4 linked regions of the Coturnix japonica genome follow. The protein of the gene in region 1 purifies or fractionates together with the protein of each later gene. This does not show direct contact. Links are inferred from orthologs where the notes say so. Each region holds a gene or a part of one and is shown in the gene's direction. Other genes may lie near its edges. The genes, in order: NSF, STX12, SCFD1 and NAPG.

What was found.
Region 2: the proteins of NSF (region 1) and STX12 purify together in Homo sapiens (co-immunoprecipitation; 4 studies listed by BioGRID and IntAct, with this or other methods). This does not show direct contact. The link is inferred for Coturnix japonica from reciprocal best matches to the Homo sapiens genes NSF and STX12.
Region 3: the proteins of NSF (region 1) and SCFD1 purify together in Homo sapiens (affinity purification with mass spectrometry; 3 studies listed by BioGRID and IntAct, with this or other methods). This does not show direct contact. The link is inferred for Coturnix japonica from reciprocal best matches to the Homo sapiens genes NSF and SCFD1.
Region 4: the proteins of NSF (region 1) and NAPG purify together in Homo sapiens (affinity purification with mass spectrometry; 3 studies listed by BioGRID and IntAct, with this or other methods). This does not show direct contact. The link is inferred for Coturnix japonica from reciprocal best matches to the Homo sapiens genes NSF and NAPG.

What each region holds. Positions count from the first base shown.
Region 1 is NC_029542.1:649,193-652,759, reverse strand, and holds part of NSF (vesicle-fusing ATPase), read left to right. Parts: intron 1-1,125; coding exon 1,126-1,221; intron 1,222-1,418; coding exon 1,419-1,575; intron 1,576-2,125; coding exon 2,126-2,259; intron 2,260-3,423; coding exon 3,424-3,490; intron 3,491-3,567.
Region 2 is NC_029538.1:1,335,492-1,338,196, forward strand, and holds part of STX12 (syntaxin-12), read left to right. Parts: intron 1-343; coding exon 344-387; intron 388-1,856; coding exon 1,857-1,928; intron 1,929-2,250; coding exon 2,251-2,356; intron 2,357-2,705. UniProt on the Homo sapiens protein: SNARE promoting fusion of transport vesicles with target membranes. Together with SNARE STX6, promotes movement of vesicles from endosomes to the cell membrane, and may therefore function in the endocytic recycling pathway.
Region 3 is NC_029520.1:31,000,632-31,004,643, reverse strand, and holds the start of SCFD1 (sec1 family domain-containing protein 1), read left to right. Parts: upstream 1-1,183; 5' UTR 1,184-1,280; coding exon 1,281-1,311; intron 1,312-4,012. UniProt on the Homo sapiens protein: Plays a role in SNARE-pin assembly and Golgi-to-ER retrograde transport via its interaction with COG4. Involved in vesicular transport between the endoplasmic reticulum and the Golgi.
Region 4 is NC_029517.1:88,361,064-88,365,318, reverse strand, and holds the start of NAPG (gamma-soluble NSF attachment protein), read left to right. Parts: upstream 1-1,430; 5' UTR 1,431-1,520; coding exon 1,521-1,576; intron 1,577-2,357; coding exon 2,358-2,425; intron 2,426-3,311; coding exon 3,312-3,396; intron 3,397-4,255. UniProt on the Homo sapiens protein: Required for vesicular transport between the endoplasmic reticulum and the Golgi apparatus.

The sequences.
Region 1 (3,567 bases):
GAGATGTATGTTTCAGGGGGAGTGTTATTTGATTTGTCCATGTAGGGAAAAATGTTGGATGTTGCTGTGCCTTCCAAGAAATGCCTTGAAATCCCATTTTTTAACCTTCTGAACAATCAGATGATGTAGGGCCCTCGTACTCCTGGGTAAAACCACATGCTGATGTAAGGTGCTGGTGAGGTTCAATGAAAATTAGGCTTGTTTTGGAATCTAAATAAATTTTTCATGATCTAATTGGAAAATTTCCAAAAGCCAAGGTGTAAAAGAATGAAAATCTTTTACCTCATTGCCAAGTTACTTAAAGTGGATTTTTGCCGTATCATCTTGCAGTTAGATGGATTGCTTTGCACAGATCAACTTCTGCCCCTTTTGTGACTAATCCTCTTTCTGATATCTGTAACTCCATGCAGGATTGTCAGCAGACTGCACAGATGGGATTAGCCTGTAATAGTGAGCGTTTGTGTGACACTCAGTGGGAAAGTTGCTTCATATCCATGTAATTCCTGATTGCTGCCTAAGGCAATCCATATTCTTGCAGATCTAGAAATAATCATGGAAAATGGAGCTGCTCCATAGTGTAGAGTGCAGCCACAGTCAATAATACATCTGAATTTGGGAGAAGCAGAAGGAAAAAGATGCTGTCTTCAATTTAGAAAGGAGAGCAATGTGAGCTAACTGTAGTGTGTTTATTCTAATACTGGTGGTACTGCATTGGGACTGAGGCAGATGAAGCAGAAAGAAATCTAATATTTACCAGTTGCCTTAAAGAGTTCTGTGTGTGGAGAGGAAAATGCTTTGTTTGAAGTTGCCAAAGAAGGAGTGGGGAAACGTGGTGTTGGGTTAAACCAAACTTTCTGAAATAAGTCACAAAATGATGGTTTCATCCCCTTTTTATACAGCACCCAGAATCTGCAATGAAGAATTTCTGCAGACTCTGAAGGGAGAGAGCAGCTCCTTACTTTAAAGGGAACCTACATAAGTTCTAGTCTCACCTAAGTCTAGATTAGGACTCGATGATCCTTTCAGGCTGCAGCTGAACTGCAGCTCTGGATCCTTGCATTGAAGTCGGTAAGGGGATCTTTTACAGTTGTGTTGTACTTCACTCTGTTTTCTTACCTTATTTAGGCCAGCAACAAAGTGGAAGTAGATATGGAGAAGGCAGAAAGCTTACGTGTGACAAGAGGAGACTTCTTTGCATCCTTGGAGAATGATATCAAACCAGTGAGTAGGCGCTGTGTAATTGGGAAATAGAATCACCCAGAACAGTTAACGATGCAAGGAAGCAAATTCCTTTTGTAATTAAAATGTTTAAGCCCCATTTTTGAGAATAGTCTTTATATGATGCAGATTCAAAACCCATGAGCAACTTTCACTGACTGAGGATGTCTGTGAAGTAAACGTTCCCTCTGTTAAAACAGGCATTTGGAACCAACCAGGAAGACTATGCGAGTTATATCATGAATGGCATTATTAAGTGGGGTGATCCAGTAACAAGGGTGTTGGATGATGGGGAGCTGCTTGTTCAACAAACCAAGAACAGTGACCGTACTCCGCTGGTTAGCGTTCTTCTAGAAGGTAAACTTAAGAATAATATCCATGCAAAAACAAACAAACAAGAACAGCCTTCTTTATACTGTTCCTATCAGTTGCCCAAGTGGTGATCTGTTATCATACTCCAGATTGATTTGGATTGGGTGTCTGTAAATTATACTGGTGTGAATTCAGGCAAATCATAAATCATCTTTGTCCATATTTCCTGGGCACTCAGGCTGTTCGTTCGGTACCTGCAGACATCATATCTTTAAGAGGCACAAACATGATTCAGAAATGTTCTGCAAAAGAGGAAGATGTGCTTTCTGCAGTGGCCCATCCTACAAAATGTGTCATTTTCTTTTTTGCCACTTTCATGGCAAATCAGGCTCTGTGTGCTCCAATAGTTGCATTAATTTCCTTCATCTGGACGATTGGATTGCACTGTTTTTTGTGCAAGTAGAAGAAAAGGTCATTTCATTTCTCAGATATTCTTTGAAAGAAGTTACAAGCATTTTAATACATCATTCATGCTGAGCCTTATCAGGCCCGTTTTCTCCCTTGTTTTTTTTCTAGTCGTATTTCTTTGTTTCAGGTCCCCCACACAGTGGGAAGACTGCTTTAGCAGCAAAGATAGCTGAGGAGTCCAACTTCCCTTTCATCAAGATCTGTTCTCCTGATAAGATGATTGGATTTTCTGAAACAGCCAAGTGCCAGGCTATGAAGAAGGTATTTCTGCACCCTTTCTTTTGATGACAATCCAACTGCTCCCTACAGTGGATGAGGAAGGGACTGTCCTGTGACTGGGCTCTCTGTAGGCCCTAAATTCCTGAATGTTATGAAGTTGAATGAATGTTTTTCATGCTGACGCTCAGTGACTCATCCTATGATAGTTGAGTGATTTAGCATTTACACAAGGACTGCTCCAGAAGTAGTGCCTCCTATATATTTCCATGGAAACTCCAACATACACGAAGAGCACAATAACACTGTTTCACAGAGCACATTCTCAGCTACAAAATTCTATTTTTCAACATAGTTACAATCTTTAACTACACATTTTCACCAGTGATGTGAAACTCTGTGGCGAAATCAGTAATGACACAAATTCTTCGAGCTTCAGGAAATCTAAATTTGCATATATTTGTTTATTTTGGTCAGTTGTAGTTATATTTTCAGGGTGCTTGATCGGGTAGACCCAAAAGAAGGCAAGGATCTTGCTGAAGGTAGCAGGTCTAAGCTTACAACTCACAGGCATTTCACTCATCTTCAAAAAAAACTTCTTTTGCTTTGCCCCAGCTGTGGAAATTCCATGTGGTTTATTTGAATAAAGTTTGAGACTCATCTGGAAGGGAAAATATCATGATTCTGGCCCAGCTGGTTCTGATGTGTAATCATCACTAACAGTGACACAAAACTCCAGATCATTGATGAGCAAGTCTGGAGCTCAGTCTTCCAGGATGAAAGCAGGAAGGGCTCAGGGCTGCACATGGAAGGAACAGATCCTGCCTGAATGAACAGTTTTGAGTTGGTAGGGTTTGTCTAAACAAGGGTTTTAACGACTTGGGGCACAGGGCAAATGCAGACAAGTTGAACTCCTTAAATCATTTCAAGTAGCCAGGTGGAAGGAAGGAGATCTAATTTACAGAAGCAAGCCAGCACTTATTTTTCTTCTAGCTGAATTATACTGGATTAGTCATGTAAATGAGGGATGTTACTCTAAGAACAGAGGAGCAGTTCATTGCAAGATTTGCATAGTTCATAACTTTTTCATTCTCTGTTTATTCATCTAAATACTGCTGTGCTTAGTTAAAAACAGATCAACAGTTCCTATCACAACTATTGTGTTTTTGCTGCTGAGATTTAGCAGTGACTCCTTTTGCTGTTTTTCAGATCTTTGATGATGCATACAAGTCCCAACTTAGCTGCGTTGTTGTGGATGACATTGAGAGACTTCTAGGTGGGTTGGGATGGGGGTCTGTGTTGTCTGCAACGGCAAACCAAAAATGATCTGGATCTGTTTACTTTAGGAGCCTC
Region 2 (2,705 bases), on another chromosome or scaffold:
ATGCATTACTGATCACAAATGAGGCCTCAGTAGGTTGTTTTGCTGTTCCAGATGTTGTAATTAGTAGGCACACATCTTGATATGCTGATGATACATCAGTGATCTGAGTAAATAGACTCTTGTCTTTGCCTTTCAGCTGCCTCTGATTTGCTGAGACAGTCTGAATTTAAGTCTGAAGATGAATCTAAATCTGGTCTAAATTCCCTTAGGTTAAATCTGAAAGTTGAAGAGACAATGCTGTCTCTGGACAGCAAATGCCTTTTTCTTCAGTATATTCCTGTTGATTTTGCTTGTTGGTAGTTCTGCTGATCTGAAATATTAACACCTCATTTATCTATTCCAGGCTGATGAGCGGTTCAGAGAAGAACAGCTTGTTTCATTTGATAGGTAAAGAATTGCATTCTTGCATTCTCGGGGCACACTCTTAACCTATGTGTAATTAAAATTGTTATAGATATATTGTATCTTGGACAACTCTTTTATAGCTGAATGAAAAACAGAAGGATGCTATGCAGCTATTACAGTGCTAATACACAGCATTTAGGAAAAGAAATGCATGACAGTATTTGACCCTGTTGAAATGTAGGCTGTCCCACTGGGAATAGTTCAGTCTCTGTTATATGATAATTGGCCCTCCTGGTGTTCTGGACTGTGAGCACAAGATTACCAGACGTATTTTCTGTCACATAACTCTTTCCACAAGAAAAACTCTTTACTTCTTTTATGAGTTTGGGTGTTATCTATGAGCCCAGATGGAGCCATTGTAAAGCAGTGGATGAGGCTGCTCTAAACTTGGAAGAAATAACAAATTGATACCAGAACATGCGTAGTCTACATCGATATAAAATATCAGACATATATATAGATTCTGCGGTAACTTTGTGCCTGCATAGCAGATGAGTTTGCAGAATGTTGCATCAGCTCTACAGTGTGAGTCAAGTGAACTCAAGACACTGCAGAAGCATTTGTGATTACTGTGTCAGTTTCCACTATGCATGCCTGAGAAATAGAGGATGAAGTATGTAGGCCTTATCTGTATAAACCTTGCAATGTTCTAACTCGAGGCACCTATCTGAAATGTCTCATCCATCCTCTCCTGATCAGTTGTTTGGTGTGTGTCCCCCTTTGTTAGTCCTGAGGTTCCACGTGCTGAGTCAGAAGTGAAAGCCCTATTTTGTTCAGTCATAAAGATGCTGTGATGAGTTTGAAGTCTTGCTCACTATTGCATGGGGTGCCACATAAATACCTGTTCATGCAGAGGCCCTCATCTCAGTGAGATGCAGTATCGTGCAGCAACTACTTTGCATTTAAAATTGTTCTTATGTGCTGCACATCAGAAACTTGTGCCCTAAACACCTGAAGATTCTCCTGTCAACTCAGCTGAATTCCTGAATGTCTCTGCTGTATCCCATCTAGTCAAGTAGTTTATTGTCATTTCTTTTTGCACTTGGAGCCTTTGGAACTTACTACGTAGAGTTATGTCACAACGTGCCTGTTGGGTATATTACAGTGCTTTCAGATACGTTTGCCTCCGAGAAGAAGAGGGAGATATTACCCTAGAAGAACTCTTTTGTGCTGGACACATAGATGACTTTGTACTATTGGTACTGCCTTCACTGTAATCAGTGTGTGTAACTTACGTGGCAGTTATGAAGTACTGTCATCAGGGTAGGTGTGCAGAGATTTTTCTAAACATCTCTCTTGATGTGTGACTTTAATTTGTAGTTCTTGCTAAATTAATGAATTAACATACTAAACCCTTTCTTCGTATCCCCAAATGGCAGATAGCAAGTGAGAATCTTAGAGCCAGGATGCTTGTCAGGTGTTCTTTTGATCTGATAATGTTGTGCTTGCAGGCTGCTCTCCATCAAGACTTTCACCCTGGTTGATTCCCCCCTTTTTGTGGGGGATGGTGAGAGGAAAGGAAGGTACAGATATTCTTAAAAAACAAACTTAAAAAAAAAAAAAACCAACCTGAAATGAGGTCTGTTCTATAATGCTATAGGTAATGGTCACATCCTAGCACAAACTATCCTATGCATGTACTGCTTTTCAGTTTCCTCACTTCTCTTGGTCTGTCCCCATTATTGTTCTCATTTGTAATTGTTGCCATAAGCCTGTAGTTGCAAGACTGGTGTTCTGTAGGAATCTTTTCAGCTTTAACATGCTGGTGATTCAGTGTAATTATAGTGAGAAAATATGCCTGTGCTGAAAGAAACAGTGTTTTACTATCCTTCCTTCCCTTCACAGTGGTGAAGACTGGAACCAAATGCAGTCTCAAGAAGAAGATGTGGCGATAACTGAACAGGATCTTGAACTTATTAAAGAAAGAGAAACGGCAATCAGGCAATTAGAGGTGAAGAGTAGATCCTGCGCTTATGTTAACATATAGTTAACAATATTAGGGTAGAAACCAAAGAATTCATGCAGTGCTATCTAATGGGATGGGCTGAGGAGACCTGAAGGTGAAGGAACAGTTCCTTGTAGAGAGGATTGATTCCAAGATAAATCTCCCTGCTCCAGTTTAAGGAGACTAGGTATATTTTCCTTCAGTGTTCACTGGTGGTCCTTCAGAGATGGTAGGAGTAACTCGTGACAGTGTTCATCTCAATTCCCTGCTCTGTTAGTTGCTAGTGGCATGGAAAAAATAATGAGCAGTGGGAATATTGCAAGCTCTTATGTTAATCCCAAGTTCCATCAATAGC
Region 3 (4,012 bases), on another chromosome or scaffold:
TATATGGAAAAGTAATAATCATAATATTGCTTGTTTAAAAAAATAAAAAAAAAATTTAAAAAAAAAACAAATGAGTTTTGTACTTGCATAAACTGTTTAAAAGTTATTGTTGTTAGAATGTTATGCAATTAATTAGAGCTGTGTAAAAACTTAAAACTCCAATGCAGTCAACTGCAGAATCAGTGCCTGAAGTGCTGCAGCTTCAAGCAATGTTGTATGTGACAGATGTAGCATCAGTGTTGAAATACTCAATTGTGGGAGACAAATGTCGTGTAAATGTTTGAAAGTGCAATAAAGAGTTAATACAACGTGGTAATTTAAATGTGAATCTTTGCTGCTTTTCTTTTGTTTGGTGGGTTTTAGTTCTAGAAGTGTTGTTGCTATTTCCTTCTAGTTGCGCTAGCTTTTGCTCCGTATGCTGAGTAGGTTGCTCCCAAAGTAATGCCTCCTGTTGATTTCTGTGGGGGCTACAGCAGATAAAAAGAGTACAATTAATGCTGTTTGGTAGAGCAAATTGTCTGCTACGAAGCACTATTTTTTGACATAATCACCACCATTAGCTGTGCATTTTTGCTAGTGGTGAAGAGGGGCTGCAGTTCTTTCTGCAGGGAGAAATTCAGTGATGCACCTTTGACTCCTGTGCCCTTCCACGTCAGAGGCCGTTTTGTCAGACCTGCTGCCATCTGCTGCACAGCAACAAAATGGAATGGAATATTGGTGGGAAAGTTCAGCTGCTGCCAACTCAGCATCCACCTCTGACATCATAGGCCAACATAATAAAATGGGAGGTGTTACTTTTGGAGCAGCCCTCGTAGATGGTGCACATTTACCCTCAAATCTCTGTCAGTTTCAGCTGCACGGGGCTATTCCTCCTCAGTGCTTTCTCTAAACACAGAACAGCTGAGAGCATAGTAACTACTAAAGACTGCAAAGAGCAGAGATGCACAAACGTAGTCAGTGCTGATGAATTTATCTTCGCCAGCTGCCGTCCCCAGGTGGAGACCTAATTGCCTCACAGCTGCCCGGTTGCAGTTTGTGCACGCAACGTGCGGGTTAGACAAAAACAGGTGCAGCCTCTTCTTGCCTAAAAACTTCGGTTTAAGGCCGAAAGCGACGTGGAAATCGCAGCCCCCCAGGAGCTGGCGGCCGCAAGGCGCTCGGACCCATCTGGCGCCGCCCAGTAACGGCTCCGCCCCGCCGCTGAGCCGGGCCGCCACGTCGGCGGTGTGTGCGTGCGCGGCAGGGGGCGGGGAGCTGCGCCGGGCTGGCGGCGAGGCAAAATGGCGGCCGGTATCAGGGAGAAGCAGATAGGTAAGCGGTTCCTATGGTTTCTATTGCGCTGTGAGGCCGCTGTTCTGCCTGCAGTGGGAAAAGAGCGCGGTGGATCTCAGGGTGTATCTGGGGGCTCTTCTGGGAGCCTGCTTTCCTCCCCTCCTTTTCTCTGACGGCTCCTTCGGGCGAGATGAAACCCGGGCCGCCTCGGTCCACCTGGGGATCCTCGGCCGGTTTGTGTCGCTCGGCGGCGGCTTTCTCCTACTCCCAGCCCCTCTCGCCGCGGTGTTCCTCAGCGGTGGGTACGGTGTCGGGACCGGGGCTCTCCTGCCGAGGGGCCTGGCCTGCCGGGCCCGGGGAACACAGGTGCCCAGGGACGCGGCCGCAGGTGCCGCCGCGATGTGGAAATCAGCCCCGGGGTGGGGCTGCGCGGCCGGGAGGGGAGCGGTGTCCGTCTTCGTGGGACTGGGCTGTGCTTTCCTTTTGTTCGGCTTCCTCTGTGCTGTGGGAAGGGTCAGCCAGAAACGTCGTTTAAAGGTGAAAATGTAAAACAACTGCTTTGTTGCCCCTGTTTAGACGCTACTGAGGTCCTGGAGTTGGGGGTTGGACTCGATGGTCTCTAGAGGTCCCTTCCAACCCCTTACAATTCTGTGATTCTGTGGAGTGTTTACTGACCTTTAGGAAATTACGATTGTGATATTACCAACTCAGGCTCCCTGGGGGAGGTATTCTGTGGGTAAAAGGGTTGTTTACTCAGTCCCTCCTTATGCCCTGCTGAGTTTGTAATTGATTCCTTCATTTCCCTCTTGCTGCTGCTCTGTACAGGGGCGCTGAGCCATCCATGTGAACATACCCCTAAAGCACAGAGTGTGTCAGCTCTGTATTCCTGCTCACTTCACTGAGTTTTTGTCTATAGTTTTAATTGCAGTCTTGTCATCTTCTCGTGACAGCTTCTTAGAGGATTCTGGGTGCGTTCATTTAACACAGGATACCTATGGTCATCTGCTTAAAAGTCTCATCCCGAGTCTCTTTTTTTGAACTTAATGTTTTACCAGCTTTTCTGTACCATAATTATATGTTCTCTGATCACATTCCACTGCCCATCTACCACTGATGGAACTGATTCATGTTCCTTTACAGTACTTTTTCTCACACTTACACCTTTCTGATAAAGCCCCTTGTTATTGAGCCTTTATTCCCTGTGACTTTATTCGTTTCTCTTTCACTGTTCTCATCCTCTTTCAGTCAGCGTTTATACCCATGTTGTCTCCTGTTGGGGCAGTCACTAGCAAGGAGGTAGCTGGAAACAAGAGGTATTCAGCAGGGTGAACACTGCTCTGTGTGTGTGTCTGTTGTGCTGTGGCCCTGCTCCATAATCAGAGTGTATTGCTGTGCCCCACTGTGAAAACCCTGCCCTTGCCCCATAGAGTTTTTGGCATAAAGTGGAAGAGCAAGAACAGAAAAGATAAGCAGCCAGTACATCTCTAGGTTTTGTGATGGTCGCAGCATGTTGGTAGTCTGATTACAATGTCTTGCACCTGGGGCTGGCAGCCCCTGCTATCAGTACAGTGTGGACAACAAAAGGATTGAGCATAGCCCTAACAGAATGATCTTGAGGGTGTCTAGCAATGTGCTTTTGCAGTTGAGTGCATCTCGACTGTATTAAAAGAAGTAATAGTTAGCAGGTTAAGGGAGGTGATCCTGCTCCTCCACTCTGCATTGGTGAGACCTCACCTGGTGTACTGTGTCTTGAGGTGGAGTCAATACAGGAGAGACATGGTTCTGTTGGAGAGCATCCAGAGGAGGGTCATGAAGGTGGTCCAAGGGATGGAAACCTCTCCTGTGAGGCTGGCTGAGAGCTGAGGCTGTTCAGCCTGGAGAAGAGAAGGCTCTGGGGAACCTGATAGCAGCCTTTCAGTACATGAAAGGAGCTATAAGAAGGAATGGGACAGCCTCTTTAGCAGGCTCTGTTCTGATGTGACAAGGGGAAAGGGTTTCAGAATAAAAGAGGGGAGATTTAAATATTTCTTTTCTTCATTGTAGGGGGTTTGGACTAGATGGGTCCTTTCCAATTCAAATTATTCTATTATCTGCTTCTGTTTATGAGTAAAGTGGATTACGTAGCCCTGATTTCTGAAAGTTTTTCTCTTTGCAAAATCCTATGACAGTTTTGTTTATGGATTTGGAGAGAATTGCTGCCAGCTTATACCGATGCAATTTATTTTTTCACTTTTTGCCACAGTGCATGGTGTATTTAATCAGGTGCATGGTGTTTAATCGGATGAATGAGGAAGGGCTCCTTAGGAGCCCTTAGAAAGTGGAGGTAGGTGAAAAATAGGCCTTGTTTTGTGTATTGAATGTGAAGTTAAATGGATACACATGGACAGAATTTTCCTGTTGCAAATTAGGGGTGCTTTCATGCTCCCTTATGCAGCAGTTTCTTATAAGTGCTGAAAATGTTGTAAAAAATATGTGTCAGCTTTAGTCAGTCAGAGAGGTATTGCTGTGTGGTATCCTGTGTGTGTGGTGTTGTTCTGATCAGGTAGGATGAAGCACAATTACAGTAAAGCAGACTAACTTGTAGGATACAAAACAGACTCTTCAGGAAGAGTCTGAAAAGAGTTTTAAGGCAAAATTTAGTAGAATATAGCCCATGTAATCAAAGAAAGAGATTCTTCATGTTTTAGGACTCACATGTTTAATGTCTGTTGTTGAAGTGTAAAGAGACTAAAGCAATATT
Region 4 (4,255 bases), on another chromosome or scaffold:
TTCTGAATGCTATCCCTGTAAAAATTTGTCACACCGTGCCTGGGTATTTTTAAATACCAAATTCCAGTTCACAGGCAAGTACCAGATGCTGTGATATGATCCTTCCCAGATGTAAAATCTCTGGAGGTTCTGTGTCTACAAAATAAAAGCTACCCAGGAATATCCTATTTCATTTAATACTAGTCCTGGAAATGTGTTGTCTGGTCATTCCAGCATAAAGTGTAACCAGACAGTGCACGTGTGTAGCCTCACAAAAAAGTCAGCAGCTCTTTATAACCCAGGGAACACAGCTGGCCAGGAACACTACCACAAACAAACAGGAGAACAGGTTACTCACTGGGTGCTTCAGAAGCGCTCTCTGAGATTATTCTGCCTGTTAATGCATTAGCTTTATGATTTCTTTTTATTCACCTGCTACAAATGCTACCTTCTTTCCTACTTTGTTACAGAATACAGAATAATACATAACACAATGGGGATTTTCCACCATCTGCTATAGATAGCATCTCCAGGGTAGTGCAAGAACTAAAGTTAGAAGAAAAAAACGTCCATATCATCAGGGGAATGCTGGAAATGGTAAAGGATAGGAAAGCAATTCAGAACGGTGTAACTGACATGTACATAGCATTTTTTGGGTGCCCCAACCCTGGAGGTACTCAAGGCCAGGCTGGATGGGGCCCTGGGCAGCTGAGCTGGTGGGTAGCAGCCCTGCCTATAATGGGTTGGGGCTGGGTATGCTTTGAGGTCCCTTCCAACCCAAGCCATTCTGATTCCATATCAGCTTTCTGACATTTCAGATTATGAAAACAAGAAGTAGCAGAAAATCAAAATACGGGCAGCAATGCAGACCTCAGCATTTTCAGTGCAGTTACCGAGTGTATAACTTGTGGATCACTGTAGCCCACAGAGGCCAGAACACCAATCATTTCTCCTGCTTTGGATGAGAGATAAAGGCCTTGTCATGGCAGGGGAGGTTCAGGTTGGCCATCAGGAAACATTTTCTCTATAACATCCTGAAGGGAGGTTGTAGTGAGCTTGTGGTTGACCTCTTCTCTCGTGTAATCGATGACAGAACTAGAGGGAATGGTTTTAAGCTGCGCCAGGGGAGATTCAGGCTGAACATTAGGAAGTATTACTTCTCGGAAAGGGTACTCAGGCATTGGAATGCACTGCCCAGGGAGGTGGTGGAGTCACCGACCATGGGAGTGTTCAAGAAACGTCAGGATGTTGTGTTGATAAATATGATTTAGCTAGGAAGTACTGGTAACGGTTGGACTAGATGATCTTCTAGTTCTTTTCCAACCTTGATAATTCTGTGATTTCTTCTCAGAAAGAGGGGCACAGGTTGCTCATGGAGGAGCACCACACAGCGTCACCCTGAGGCAGTCACGTTACCAACAGCTGCCGTCAGCAGCAGATCCCGCCCCCCAAGATGGCGCAGGCGCAGTGAGAAGGCGCAGCTCTCATCCCCGCCCCCGGACGCGCCGTGAGCCCTGCGGCGTTCCGTAGCTGCAGTCACGATGGCGGCTCAGAAGATTAACGAGGCCCTGGAGCACATCGCGAAAGCGGAGAAATAGTGAGCGGGGATTGGGCTGGGCATGTCGGCAACAAGAAGCGGGCGAGGCCGTGGGCGCTTCAGCGTTCGGGGCTCCTCTCCTGCCCGCTGGGCTGGTGAGGCGGAGTGCTGTGGGAGATGTAGGCTGCCCGTGATCCTCCCGTGGGCTCAGCAGCTGCCGGCGACGTGACCTGGGCTGGAAAGGGAGGGCAGCGGGGGATATGGCCTGTCTGAGGCGGGGCTTTGGGGGTCTGTTTGTTTACGGGTGGCCTCAGTAGTACGGGCACTTTGCTTAGTGGGCCTAATGTCTACGTATGGCAGTTGGCAGGCAGCTTCAGAGGATGCTTCAGAACAGCAGTGTGTGCCAGGTGGCTTCTTTACGTTACCTGAGCACTACGCCTTTTGGTGGAATTCATTTTAACTCATTTCGTTACTAAGCATGTAATACATCTGGAGTGTCTGTGTCAGCGGCCTCTAGAGCTGTAGTTTTGTATGCATGCCTTTTTTTAAGGATATAAGTATAATACTGAGGTCAGCATTGATGACTCACATAATTCATGGAACCACAGAATGACTTATGTTGGAAAGAACCTCATATCCCACCCTGTTCCTTGGGCAGGGCTGCCACCCACCAGCTTAGCTGCTCAGGGCCCTGTATTTGTGTATGTGTGGGATCAGTAAGTACCATAAGCTGCTACAGACATATCAGGCTGTCTGATGTTTTAAATCTAAATGAAGTACTTCAGAGGTGAAACACAAAGGCGTTACTCGCTGTTAATAGTCCTTTCTTCTTACATTTTAGCTTGAAAACTGGATTCTTAAAATGGAAACCAGATTATGATAGTGCAGCTACTGAATACGGGAAGGCAGGTATGTGTGACTGTAAATATGGGCGCGTGCTTTATGGTTTTATAGTTTTTAAGCTTCATTTCCAATAATATTTTACTTAGTTTTAGTATATTCCTGTATAAGTACAACTGTTGCGAAGACTATAGTAATGAGGAAGATAAATGTTCTTAGCACTGTAAAATCTCAAGTTGTACTTGGAAGTCAATACTAATTGCAAAAAATTTATTCTTTTCAAGTTTACTGCTAATATGTTGAATCTTAATACATATCATAACATTAAAGCTTTCCTCTTTTCACTTGCCAACCCCCAAATCACATGATATTCCCAAATAACAAAAATTCTATTTGTTCTTAAAACTTTTTCACCATCATTTGGATTGCCTGACCTAAGAGAGTTTTAATAAGGTAGAGGCATTTTTAGTTTGTGGTGTAATTTCTTTTTCCTCTGGACACGGTAAGATTTCTTTCCTCCTTTCCTGTTAACAGGTGTCATACTGAATATGGAACTCTGATTTTTTTCTTCTTGTTAATAGTAATTTATACCCATGTACACTGGAAAGTGTACAGATGAGTCTTGAATGTCTCCAGAAAAGAGGACTCTGTGACCTCTCTGGCCCTCCTGTTCCAATGCTCTGTCACCATCAAAGTACAGAATTTTTCCAATCTCATGTTTTGATGGGATTTCCTATGTTCCAGTTTGTGCCAGTTGCCTCTTGTCCTATCACTGGGGACCAATTGGGTGGCTAATTCAACCCTGTGGTGGGATTTTCTGGCTACAATTTAGCAAGCCATTCAGTTTGTCTAAAGTGCCTGCTTGCGTGTTTGGATGATTGAATACTTTAGCAGATGTGATTAAAAAAAGAAAAGGCAAGCTGTAAATGAGAACTTCATCTTTGGTTTCTTGCAGCTGTTGCCTTTAAGAATGCCAAGCAGTTTGACCAGGCAAGGGAAGCCTGTTTACGAGAAGCTGAAGCACATGAAAACAACAAAGCGTATCTTTTCATTACTTTTATTTTCCAAGAAGTTACTTGCTATTTAGAATTGAGTAGTGGATTGAAAAATTAATATCTTTGCTCATGTTGTCGGTCTAAGAAGGTTCTCTTTCAAAGGACTGTGTGCTGTGAATAGGAAAGCTGAAGACCTCTTGATTAGAAAATCTGTTCTGAGTGATATACAAGCACAGAACTGTTTGAGTTGGCAGGACCCTTAAAGGTCACCTAGTCCAACTCCCTTGAAATGAGTAGGGACACATCAGGTTGTTCACAGCATCCTCCAGTTTGTTCTTGAGTGTCTCCAGGCATGGGACATCCACCATCTCTCTGAACAACCTGTTTCAATGCCTTATTATCCTTACTGTGAAAAACTTCTCCCTTACATCCGATCTAAATCTCCCCTTTTTCAGTTTAAAACCACTTCACCTTGTCCATTTTCAACAGACTCTGCTAGAGTTTTTGTCTTCTTTGTTCTTAAAGTCCCTCTGTAGATACTGAAAAGTTGCTGTCAGATCTCCTTGGAGCCTCTTTTTCTCCAGGCTGAACAGCCCCAGATCTCTCAGCCTGTCCTCATAGGAGAGGTGTTCCATTCTCTGGGTCATATTTGTGGCCCTCTGTGTGCTCTCCAACAGGTCGGTGTGTCTCCTGTACTGAGCACTCCACACCTGGATGCAGTACTCCAGATGAGGTCTCACCAGTGTAGAGTAGAGGTGCCTGAAATGCTTATGTACTGCATTATAAATTTATATAAGCACTTTTAAGTATCTATGAATGGATAGTATTAACTAAATGTGGCTAACAATACAGTGCTTGTGGTAACATTTGGTAACCAGGGAGCATTTTTTAAATAAATGTACAT